Linked DNA regions of Saccharomyces cerevisiae S288C. The gene in region 1 interacts genetically with each later gene. Each region holds a gene or a part of one and is shown in the gene's direction. Other genes may lie near its edges. The genes, in order: SPT8, HTZ1 and SAP30.

Region 1 (3,762 bases):
TACGGTAAGAACCCCCTAGTCTGTCCCACAGAGTGGTGAATTGACCGTAGTTGTAGTTGAAATATAGATGGTGAACCGTGTGGCAGGCAGTACCGTTGACGGCAGGATTGTTTGATAGGTATTGACCGTCATGAATCATAACAGTCCAAAAGTTAACAAAAGTGAACAGAATCAAATAAGAAACCTTGTGTAATGGCAGAATCAATGGGTAGATGTGGTACGAGATGGATTGCAAAAACCCGTCTACAGGATGGAAAGAATGAGATGCGAAAGGTGTGCAGACCAGCCACTTGTGATGAGGCTTGTGCAGAGCACGGTAGACCCTTGGCCAATGCAACCATCTGTGCGCTAAATACACACCGCAATCAGTGAAAAAGATGAAAGTGAAGTACTCGATAATGAGCTTCCTTACACCGTGGTTTTCATAATCAATCTTCATGTATAGTTTAGAATGGCCGTTCAATTCCATAACAAACCATGGAACGGTCAACATCGACATCCATGGGATAGCACTGACTGCCAACTTGATTTCCATTGCCATTTGGTTTTTCAAGTAACGAGGATGGTTGAAAATCGACTTGTCAAACACAAACACGTAGCTGAGACTAGCCGTGAATAAGTAAAGTAGTAAACCAAAGATCGTAACAATAACCCATAGTGAGAGGAATTCTCTCAAGATGCTGGAACGAGGCAATAGCGATGCAAAAGACGTCGTCGACATATCAAACAGGAATGGCACCTGCCCGTAGAACCTTCTACATTCTTTGACGGCATTCTTGGAGTTCAAAGTCTCCTGCAAAATCGTAGAATTGCTGAACCCACTGTTCAACCCTAGCAATTTCTGCCACTTGACAGGAATATTAGCTGCCAACGAAGCGGGCAGAACTTTAGCGTACAAGTCGTCTAAGACATAATGGTCAGCGACTTCTAAGACCAAATCCATATCTCAAATCTAGACGAATATTTTTCTTATTATCTTTTTTTACAAATGCAACAAACTGACCTCCTCTGCAACCACTTCAAAGAACAAGACAAATGTAAAGAATGAATGAACAAGTGAATGAAAAAACGAATTGATAAGAAAGATAGAAATCCGCCTCTAATATATACCGCGATGTTTCTTTCGACCGTTACATAATAGCAGCAACAACAATACCCGATCGCTGCTGAACCTCTTGTTTCAATGCACCTGCTGTTCTTCTTCACCTTCTATTGTGCCACTTATACGAGCCTGAATTTTTCGTTTATCGCAGCCATCGGCCTCGTATACACCCCGGTTGCCCTGGGGCGCAACTAAACGACCGAAATAATGCCCGGGAGTTTTCGGGTGGTCTGCCCCGGGCACCGATCTCGGTCGTTTAGGCCGCAGTGGGTCGTGCCACACGGCAGCGATGCAAGGGACAACGCGTCGTAACTTGCGATGCCCGACAATCGCAACAAAAGGCGTCGTTTCGCGGTTTTTTCGTATCATTTTTTTTTTCAGTTTTTCTTCTTTCGGCTATGAAAAAAATGGCAGAGCTGCCCTAATCTATTTTTATGGATGCCCTAATATATTGTCACTCTGTACGTAGGGCTTCCAGAATGCCCTTTCAGGAAGGATTCTAGCATAATAGACGCATCATATATTATAGCGTAGTGGTGCCAGATGCTGGGCTGTAAAAGGCTGTAGCAGTAACTGTAGTGTACTAAAGGCTCAGTTTTTTTTTTTTTCTTCTTTTACGTAATGGACGAGGTTGACGATATTCTAATTAACAACCAGGTGGTGGATGACGAGGAGGATGACGAAGAGATGCTGAGTGGGCTGGAAAACGACTCAAAGCAGGACCTCGAGGGGAATGATGACGGTGGTGAAGATGAAGAGGATGACGATGATGATGATGAGGACGATGATGATGACGAGGACGAACGAGAGGACGACGATGAACAGGAGGACGACGATGGTGAGGACGACGCCGCAAGAATGGATAAGACTGCTACACCGACGAATGAGCACCAGCATGATGAGCAAAAGGCTGCTGCTGCTGGTGCTGGCGGTGCAGGCGATAGTGGCGATGCTGTTACTAAGATTGGATCCGAGGATGTGAAATTGAGCGATGTTGATGGAGGAGTGGGGTCCAGGGAAGCATCTTCCTCTACACACGAAGCCTCTGCTAATGGAGAGGTTTATGAGTACTATAAGCACATGTTGAATGCCGCACAGATTGCGGATTCGTACAATATCTACCCCACGGCAGCCATACCCATCCAGACGCACGTCAATGCGTTGGCCGTGTCCAGGGGTCTCAAGTACCTGTTTTTGGGCGGTAGCGATGGATACATAAGGAAGTACGACTTGCTGAACACGCTTGAGGGGAAACTTTCTCTAACTATCCTGCAGAAGCATTCGTTGGCTGAGTCTATTCAGAACGCGGGTATCTTGCAGTCGTACTGGGAAAATGAGATCCCGCAGAAAAAATCAGAAATGAAACTCTCCGCTAATAAGACAGATTACGAGCCCAAAGTTAGCCCCGTTCATTCTTTGGAAGTCCAAAGCGAATGCCTCTTTATACTGAGCGGGCTACAGAATGGTGGGATTACCATGCAGGGCGTTCGCTACATGGAGGGGAGCATTGCGCACTATTTTAAGGGCAGGAATGGACATACCCAAATCGTTAACATACTGAGATTAAACGGTCAAGAGGACAGGTTTTTGAGTGGTTCCTGGGATAAGCGTCTTTTGGAATGGGATTTGCAGACGGGTGACATAGTTAATGAGTTTAAAAAATCAAGGTCTGAATTGTCATCTTTGGAAATGCGGCCGCTGTACTCGTCCGTGGATGTGTCCGGTAACGTCAACAGTGGTAAAGAGAATGAAAATGCAGATGACGATATGGATTCTCTGTTTGGTGATGAAGACGAAGACGAAAAGCAAGATGCTGGCAACGAACCCGTCGAGACGGGGGATGGTTCTAATGGTGAAGAGAACAAAGAACAGATATCTGAAGAATCTTTGAACATAGTCTATGATGAATCCGTTTTTATGACCTCAGGGTTGAACGGTTCCGTGCATATTTGGGACCGACGCATGACGCAGTCGCCAGCATTGTCTCTGGAGAGAGGTGCAGGCGTCCCACCGTGGTGTTTGTCCGCATGTTGGGGTGTAGATGGTGATCATGTGTATGCAGGGAGAAGGAATGCCTGTGTGGAGCAGTTTGACTTGAAGATGCCCTCGAAACCTATCCATAATTTGAAACTGCCTTCTATTTCAGGGCCTGTCTCTTGTGTTAAAGCCATGCCTAATAACAAGCATTTACTATGTGCATCGCGGGATAATATCAGATTGTACAACGTTGAAATTGCAGTAGATGCTTCGAATTCGACTACAAAGAGTTCTAAAGTGCCGTTCCTCATCGTGCCGGGCCATCACGGTGGTATTATATCAAACTTATACCTCGACCCCACTTCAAGATTTATAATAAGCACAAGTGGCAACAGAGGCTGGCAGGGGAATTCTACGGACACGACCCTTATTTACGATATAGACTTAGAATAGTGAGTTGTAATAATAATCATAACCATAATCATAATCATAATTACTCCGCGCGCCGTTTATTTTTTTTTTTTTTTTTTCAGGGCCACTGATCCCTTCATTTTGTGTCAGTAATTCAGGGTCCGGGCAGACAAAGGCATATTATACTATCAAAATTTGAATGAAAAGTAAAATGAATGGAGTTAATAATACGCTTCATATTAACAAAAGCACATAGACGCACGATACAAATA
Region 2 (2,733 bases), on another chromosome or scaffold:
TTTCGCTGTTGCCATCATTAAATAGCTTCGACAAAACTTCTGAGCTATCTGAAAAATTTGCAGTAGCCCTAGTCAAGAAATCTTTTAAAGCTACACTAGTGACTTTATTCCTCTTTTCCAACCATGCGCTCTCATTCTGAGATATAGACGTAGCCTCTCTTACCAGATTTATGTCATCGGGACACGACACGGTGCCAGGAACATAACTATCTGTGGGCGACCACGCATTAGCGGCCAGTAGAAACTGAGAAATTGCGAATATGTAACTGATAATAATTTTTGAACATAATGGACGTATCATTACTTATATTATTATGTGTGTAATTTCCTTGCTTTTAGTCCTCTTAAAACGGCGTATTCCAAGCTGAAAAGTGAAATATTAGAACTCGTAAAACCACGTATAACTTATATAAAAGTGGATGAAAAGCGTAACAATAACATAGTAGTGTGGTAATAATGGTGATAGAATCCCTGCAAGTCTGGATCTTGCAAAAGAAGTGCCAAATTGAGTAATTCCATAGCCAAGCCATCTTAAAAGCAGGGAAAAAGAAAGAAGAGAAAAAGGCTCATTGCACAGAAGAACCAGTACAACATTCGCGGAACCGGCAAGATATTTTCGTGGAGGACTAAAGCGAAACGAAAACGGATGAAGTTGCGGTATTTCCTGATTTGGAAGTTCTATGGGGCGTCCACCGGTTTCAAAAAAAAAGGAAAAATGATTTGCGTTTTAGTCATTGAGAACGAAAGGAGGAATTGGATTACGCGGGCAGTAATATGGTGCGCGATGCTGGCGTATTAACGCGAGATGAAGGAGGCTGAAGTCAGGAAAACTCATGTGAGTGTGACGTTACCGATGACATTATGGACACTTTTAAATGGTCATGTGACGCGGTATCACAGGAGGCAAACAACTGTACTCAGCAATTTCCCGATCACCTACTAACTGCGCTCTCTTCGCCTGGTATGCTCTTTTTGCAACGCACAAAGCTTCGTATAGTATTCATTATACGATTATTAGGAGTGCTGATGACTATCGTCTGTATTCTCTGAAGTGTTTGCCGCTGTTGTGTCTTGCCTTGCAACAGCGTATGTTTACCGTTTTATATATTGCGTGGCGCGCACCCGGTGATAAGAAACATCCATGTGATAAAACTCCGCACGTTGCTTGATTAATTAACCTCGGAGGTGTTACCCGCAATCAATATGTCTGCCAGCCGCCCGCCCGCCCCGGAGAAAAGAGCTTAGGACAAGAATCACTGTCTCTTACCTTGGAATCAGGGCAGGTCCGCACAAGCGGTAGTAAGCACATACCTAAAATAGCAGTATTCTTCTTTCTTTAGAGAACGTTAGACTCAATTGAAAAGGTTTACTGAATGCATCCATGCTAGATTAGCACACAGTAACTTTACGCCCGTAACTTACTACTCGTAGAACTGGCCGCTGGTGTTCCGTAACCCGCCGCGCTCGCTCCGTGCACGAAAACAACAAAACAAAAAAAACAACAAATAAAGCATACAGCTCTATTTAACAGCTGAACTATTATCCAGTGTAATAGAGTCACAACCCCCAACTAAAAAACACTGCGGACTCTATTATACTTCAGTCGGAAAAAATATCGTTAAATTCAATTTCGCACTATAGCCGCACGTAAAAATAACTTAACATAATGTCAGGAAAAGCTCATGGAGGTAAAGGTAAATCCGGCGCTAAAGACAGTGGTTCATTGAGATCTCAATCTTCTTCAGCAAGGGCTGGCTTGCAGTTTCCTGTCGGTAGGATTAAGCGTTACCTGAAAAGGCACGCTACCGGCCGAACAAGAGTAGGATCCAAAGCTGCCATTTATTTGACTGCTGTGTTGGAATATTTGACTGCTGAAGTGCTGGAGTTGGCTGGTAATGCAGCCAAGGATCTTAAAGTCAAGAGGATTACCCCAAGACATCTGCAATTGGCCATTAGAGGTGACGATGAGTTAGATTCTTTGATCAGGGCTACAATTGCTTCAGGTGGTGTTTTGCCTCATATAAATAAAGCATTATTATTGAAAGTGGAAAAAAAGGGAAGTAAGAAATAAGAAGAATAGTTTTTCTTTCCCATTTCCCGTAATTCTCCCTGCTCCTGTATCCTCATTCTATCCATATTAACGTCTGTATCATTATTATAAGTTGAAATTTGTCTCTCCGTACCCGAGTTATATACATACATATATGTAATCTATCTCTCCTTTCACGTCTAATCTCTTATGTTTTTACTATAATATATAGCATGAAAATATACTCTCACACAATATTCCCAACGATAGCGCAGTAGCCGTTATGTACGCAGAAATTTGGTCAGGGCTTTCTTTTTGTTGAACTTTGCATACCCGGAAAAATGGAAATTAAGGACACCTACAAAAGTACACTGTAGAAATCAAATCAAAGAAAAGGTTTAATAGACGATAAATTTCCATACGTGCCGACAGGACAAAAAAAAAACCCCCCTACCATTTCTAATAACAGCTTCACCACTAGTTATACTGTCGACTTTCTACCGATTTGTTGGTTCCTTTTTATAACCAGAAAATCATCTATCAATTGCAATTTGTAAGAGAAGGGGAGAAAGACAAAATAATAATATGGTGCCAGAAAATAGAAGGAAACAGTTGGCAATTTTTGTAGTTGTCACATATTTGCTCACATTTTATTGCGTGTATTCAGCCACCAAGACAAGCGTTTCCTTTTTGCAAGTAACACT
Region 3 (3,148 bases), on another chromosome or scaffold:
GAGTGGCATTGGCAGTCAGCTCTTCCAGGAATTGCTCTGAGGAAAGCATTTCCATCTCATTATGATAGTTAACTCCCGTAGCAGGAGAGCCCACATTGGCCCTTTGTAAGGGTTCACCGTTAATTTGCGCCTCCTGAGGTAAGCCAATATAATGAGAGCTTGCCGAAGTTACAGAACTGCTTCTTTCTTGCTTGTTGTTGCTCAATTCCTGGTTGTTGCAGTCTACCTTGATCATACTTGATTCAACCAGCTTAGCAGTATCCGAGTTGGTGACATCAGCCTCGAATTGAGGGGTATATGGTAAGAATAAAGAAGCGACGATAATAGTCATTGAGGTTGCCCGTGGTTATTAGTCTGTGGTTTTTTGAATAGGAAGCAATAAATTATAAAGCCAGGACCTGCAATAACGTTTGTACTGTTTTATTGTGATAAAAGATGAAGCGGAATAGCAACGGTACTTAAAACTTATGTCTTAGACTTAATACTATTGAATGTTTGCTCGTCCACTTGATGCTCCCTGGAGTTGCCGTTGCTGCGTGCTGAAGGGGATTAATTAATTCCAGGGGCACCGCGCGAAGCCCAGGAGGACAATTGATTACGTAGGGAAGAAAGGGCCCTTTTAGAAGACTGGCAATTGCAACTCTATCGAGGTTAGGTGTTACACTACGCTGTTCATTGAGGAAGTAGATGAATAAACTTGTTGATGCCCACTGTCATGTTATAACCGACCCAGACAACACATTCTGCGGTGATGATGGAGGGTCCCAGGGTACGTTGCGTTGCGTTATGTCATCAAACCCATATGACTGGAACAATTTGAAAAAATTGGCTGGCAGAAGCACAAGTAAAAACGATATATGCGTGGGATTTGGTGTGCATCCTTGGTACAGCCACTTATTTTATGTGGGAAGTCGGCGCGACAAGGTTTCTCACTATCAAGATGTACTGGAGTATAAGAATGAAGAACAGTTCGACAGTTTGGTTCAGGTGCTTCCCGAACCTCTAGATCTTGAAGAGTATATAAAAAGAGAGTTTAACGACACTTTGGTTAGTGTGATTGGAGAAATCGGTCTTGATAAGCTCTTCAGACTTCCTGCAAATGGTTTCTACATGCAGAACGAGAAGGCAAGGCTTACGACAGTGAAGGTCAAACTATCGCATCAAGAAACAGTATTCAGGCGATTTTGCCGACTGGCAAGGCACACAAGCAAGCCCATCTCTATACACGATGTAAAGTGCCACGGGAAACTAAACGATATCTGCAATGAAGAGCTCTTGACGTATCACTCTGTCAAGATATGTTTACATTCGTACACAGGCTCCAAGGAAACGCTTCTGGGCCAATGGCTCAAGAAGTTTCCCCCGGATCGTATTTTTGTGAGCCTATCCAAATGGATTAATTTTAAGGACCCAGAAGAGGGAGATGCCCTGGTCAGGAGCTTGCCCTCAACTTGCATACTTACTGAAACCGACTATCCTATTGACAATCCAGATCCGTCATACCAAAAGGCCCTTACAGAGCAGCTGCAGTATTTGAATGCACAAATCGCACGAGCATGGGACGAGACACTGGATGCCTCACAAGCCGCTTTGCGTGTATACGAAAACTTTCAGAAATTTATCAAGTGAAACGCTTTTGAGGTGGCAGCATAGCACTGTAATGAGATATATTAAGTAGGCTTGCTGTATACCATTTCTTGCTATGCATGTGTTTTAGCAAGGCAACGCCGTTCCGGAAGGGAAAAAGCGCTCTTTTTTATATACTGTGAAATTTTCAGATTTTAACTTAGAAATTATATAAAAGCGGTTGTGTATCTATTGTGATAATGCAATTCCTTTATAGTTTAGCAAATCGAAGGATAGGTATATACTGAGTAGTAATGGCTAGGCCAGTTAATACAAACGCTGAAACGGAATCGAGAGGCAGACCCACTCAGGGTGGTGGTTACGCAAGTAACAACAATGGCAGCTGTAACAACAACAATGGCAGCAATAATAACAATAATAACAATAATAATAATAATAATAACAGCAATAACAGCAATAACAATAACGGGCCTACCTCCAGCGGGAGAACCAATGGGAAGCAAAGACTCACAGCTGCACAACAGCAGTACATTAAGAATCTCATAGAGACACATATCACCGACAACCACCCTGATCTGCGCCCCAAGAGTCACCCAATGGATTTCGAAGAGTATACGGATGCGTTCCTGAGAAGGTATAAAGACCACTTTCAATTGGACGTACCGGACAACCTGACGCTGCAGGGATACTTATTGGGTTCCAAATTGGGCGCGAAGACTTATTCATACAAGAGGAACACACAGGGGCAGCACGATAAAAGGATACATAAGAGAGACCTGGCCAACGTGGTGAGAAGGCATTTCGATGAGCATTCCATTAAAGAGACAGATTGCATACCGCAATTTATATACAAGGTAAAAAACCAGAAGAAGAAATTCAAGATGGAATTTCGGGGTTGATCAAACGATGAGGCAGCCCTTTTGTGTATAAGTTATGTAAACTTTTAAGGTGGTAATTGTTAAAATGGACAGTAACACTTGTTTATTTGCTAGTATTCCATTTAGTTTAATGCCTTTTTGTATACGGTGCGGGTAGCTGTCGCGCCATTTTAAACGATCTAATATAACTGAGGTGGGCCTGTCATTGATGCATTGAATAGACAACTCATCAACCTATTTCTTATAAAAGGCGCCATAAAGCATTACAATCTACGATCGCGCAAACTTTTTTCTTTTGGCCATGGAGGATTCGAGATTGCTTATCACTTTGATTCTTGTGTTTGGAGTTATATTTCTGAAAAAATTCTTCCAAAGTAATCAGCATCCCTCAGCACAACGCTTATCCGCTACAGGTGTAAACGCACACGGACGTCCTCAGGGCTCCACGCAGAATGCCTTGAGAAGGACTGGTAGAGTCAATGGAGGTCACCCCGTGACTACTCAGATGGTGGAAACAGTGCAAAATCTAGCCCCTAACTTACATCCTGAGCAAATTAGGTATAGTTTGGAAAACACAGGCTCAGTCGAGGAAACAGTGGAAAGGTACTTGCGTGGTGATGAATTCAGCTTTCCACCTGGGTTTGAGCCCTCCAGGGCGCCAATGGGGGCCAATGCGGCTGTTG

Evidence for each region.
Region 2: mutations in SPT8 (region 1) and HTZ1 are lethal when combined (synthetic lethality), as found in Saccharomyces cerevisiae (8 studies listed by BioGRID, with this or other methods).
Region 3: mutations in SPT8 (region 1) and SAP30 together harm fitness more than expected from each alone (negative genetic interaction), as found in Saccharomyces cerevisiae (4 studies listed by BioGRID, with this or other methods).

Annotation. Positions count from the first base shown.
Region 1 is NC_001144.5:251,042-254,803, reverse strand, and holds SPT8 (SAGA complex subunit SPT8), read left to right. Parts: upstream 1-1,723; coding exon 1,724-3,532; downstream 3,533-3,762. Other genes in the region: ERG3 (C-5 sterol desaturase), read right to left, coding at 1-943. UniProt on the Saccharomyces cerevisiae protein: Component of the transcription coactivator SAGA complex. SAGA acts as a general cofactor required for essentially all RNA polymerase II transcription. At the promoters, SAGA is required for transcription pre-initiation complex (PIC) recruitment.
Region 2 is NC_001147.6:302,917-305,649, reverse strand, and holds HTZ1 (histone H2AZ), read left to right. Parts: upstream 1-1,666; coding exon 1,667-2,071; downstream 2,072-2,733. Other genes in the region: PLB3 (lysophospholipase), read right to left, coding at 1-301; E3 ubiquitin-protein ligase HRD1, read left to right, coding at 2,615-2,733. UniProt on the Saccharomyces cerevisiae protein: Variant histone H2A which can replace H2A in some nucleosomes. Nucleosomes wrap and compact DNA into chromatin, limiting DNA accessibility to the cellular machineries which require DNA as a template.
Region 3 is NC_001145.3:793,039-796,186, forward strand, and holds SAP30 (Sap30p), read left to right. Parts: upstream 1-1,880; coding exon 1,881-2,486; downstream 2,487-3,148. Other genes in the region: TPS3 (trehalose 6-phosphate synthase/phosphatase complex subunit), read right to left, coding at 1-331; YMR262W (putative endodeoxyribonuclease), read left to right, coding at 688-1,629; CUE1 (Cue1p), read left to right, coding at 2,767-3,148. UniProt on the Saccharomyces cerevisiae protein: Component of the RPD3C(L) histone deacetylase complex (HDAC) responsible for the deacetylation of lysine residues on the N-terminal part of the core histones (H2A, H2B, H3 and H4).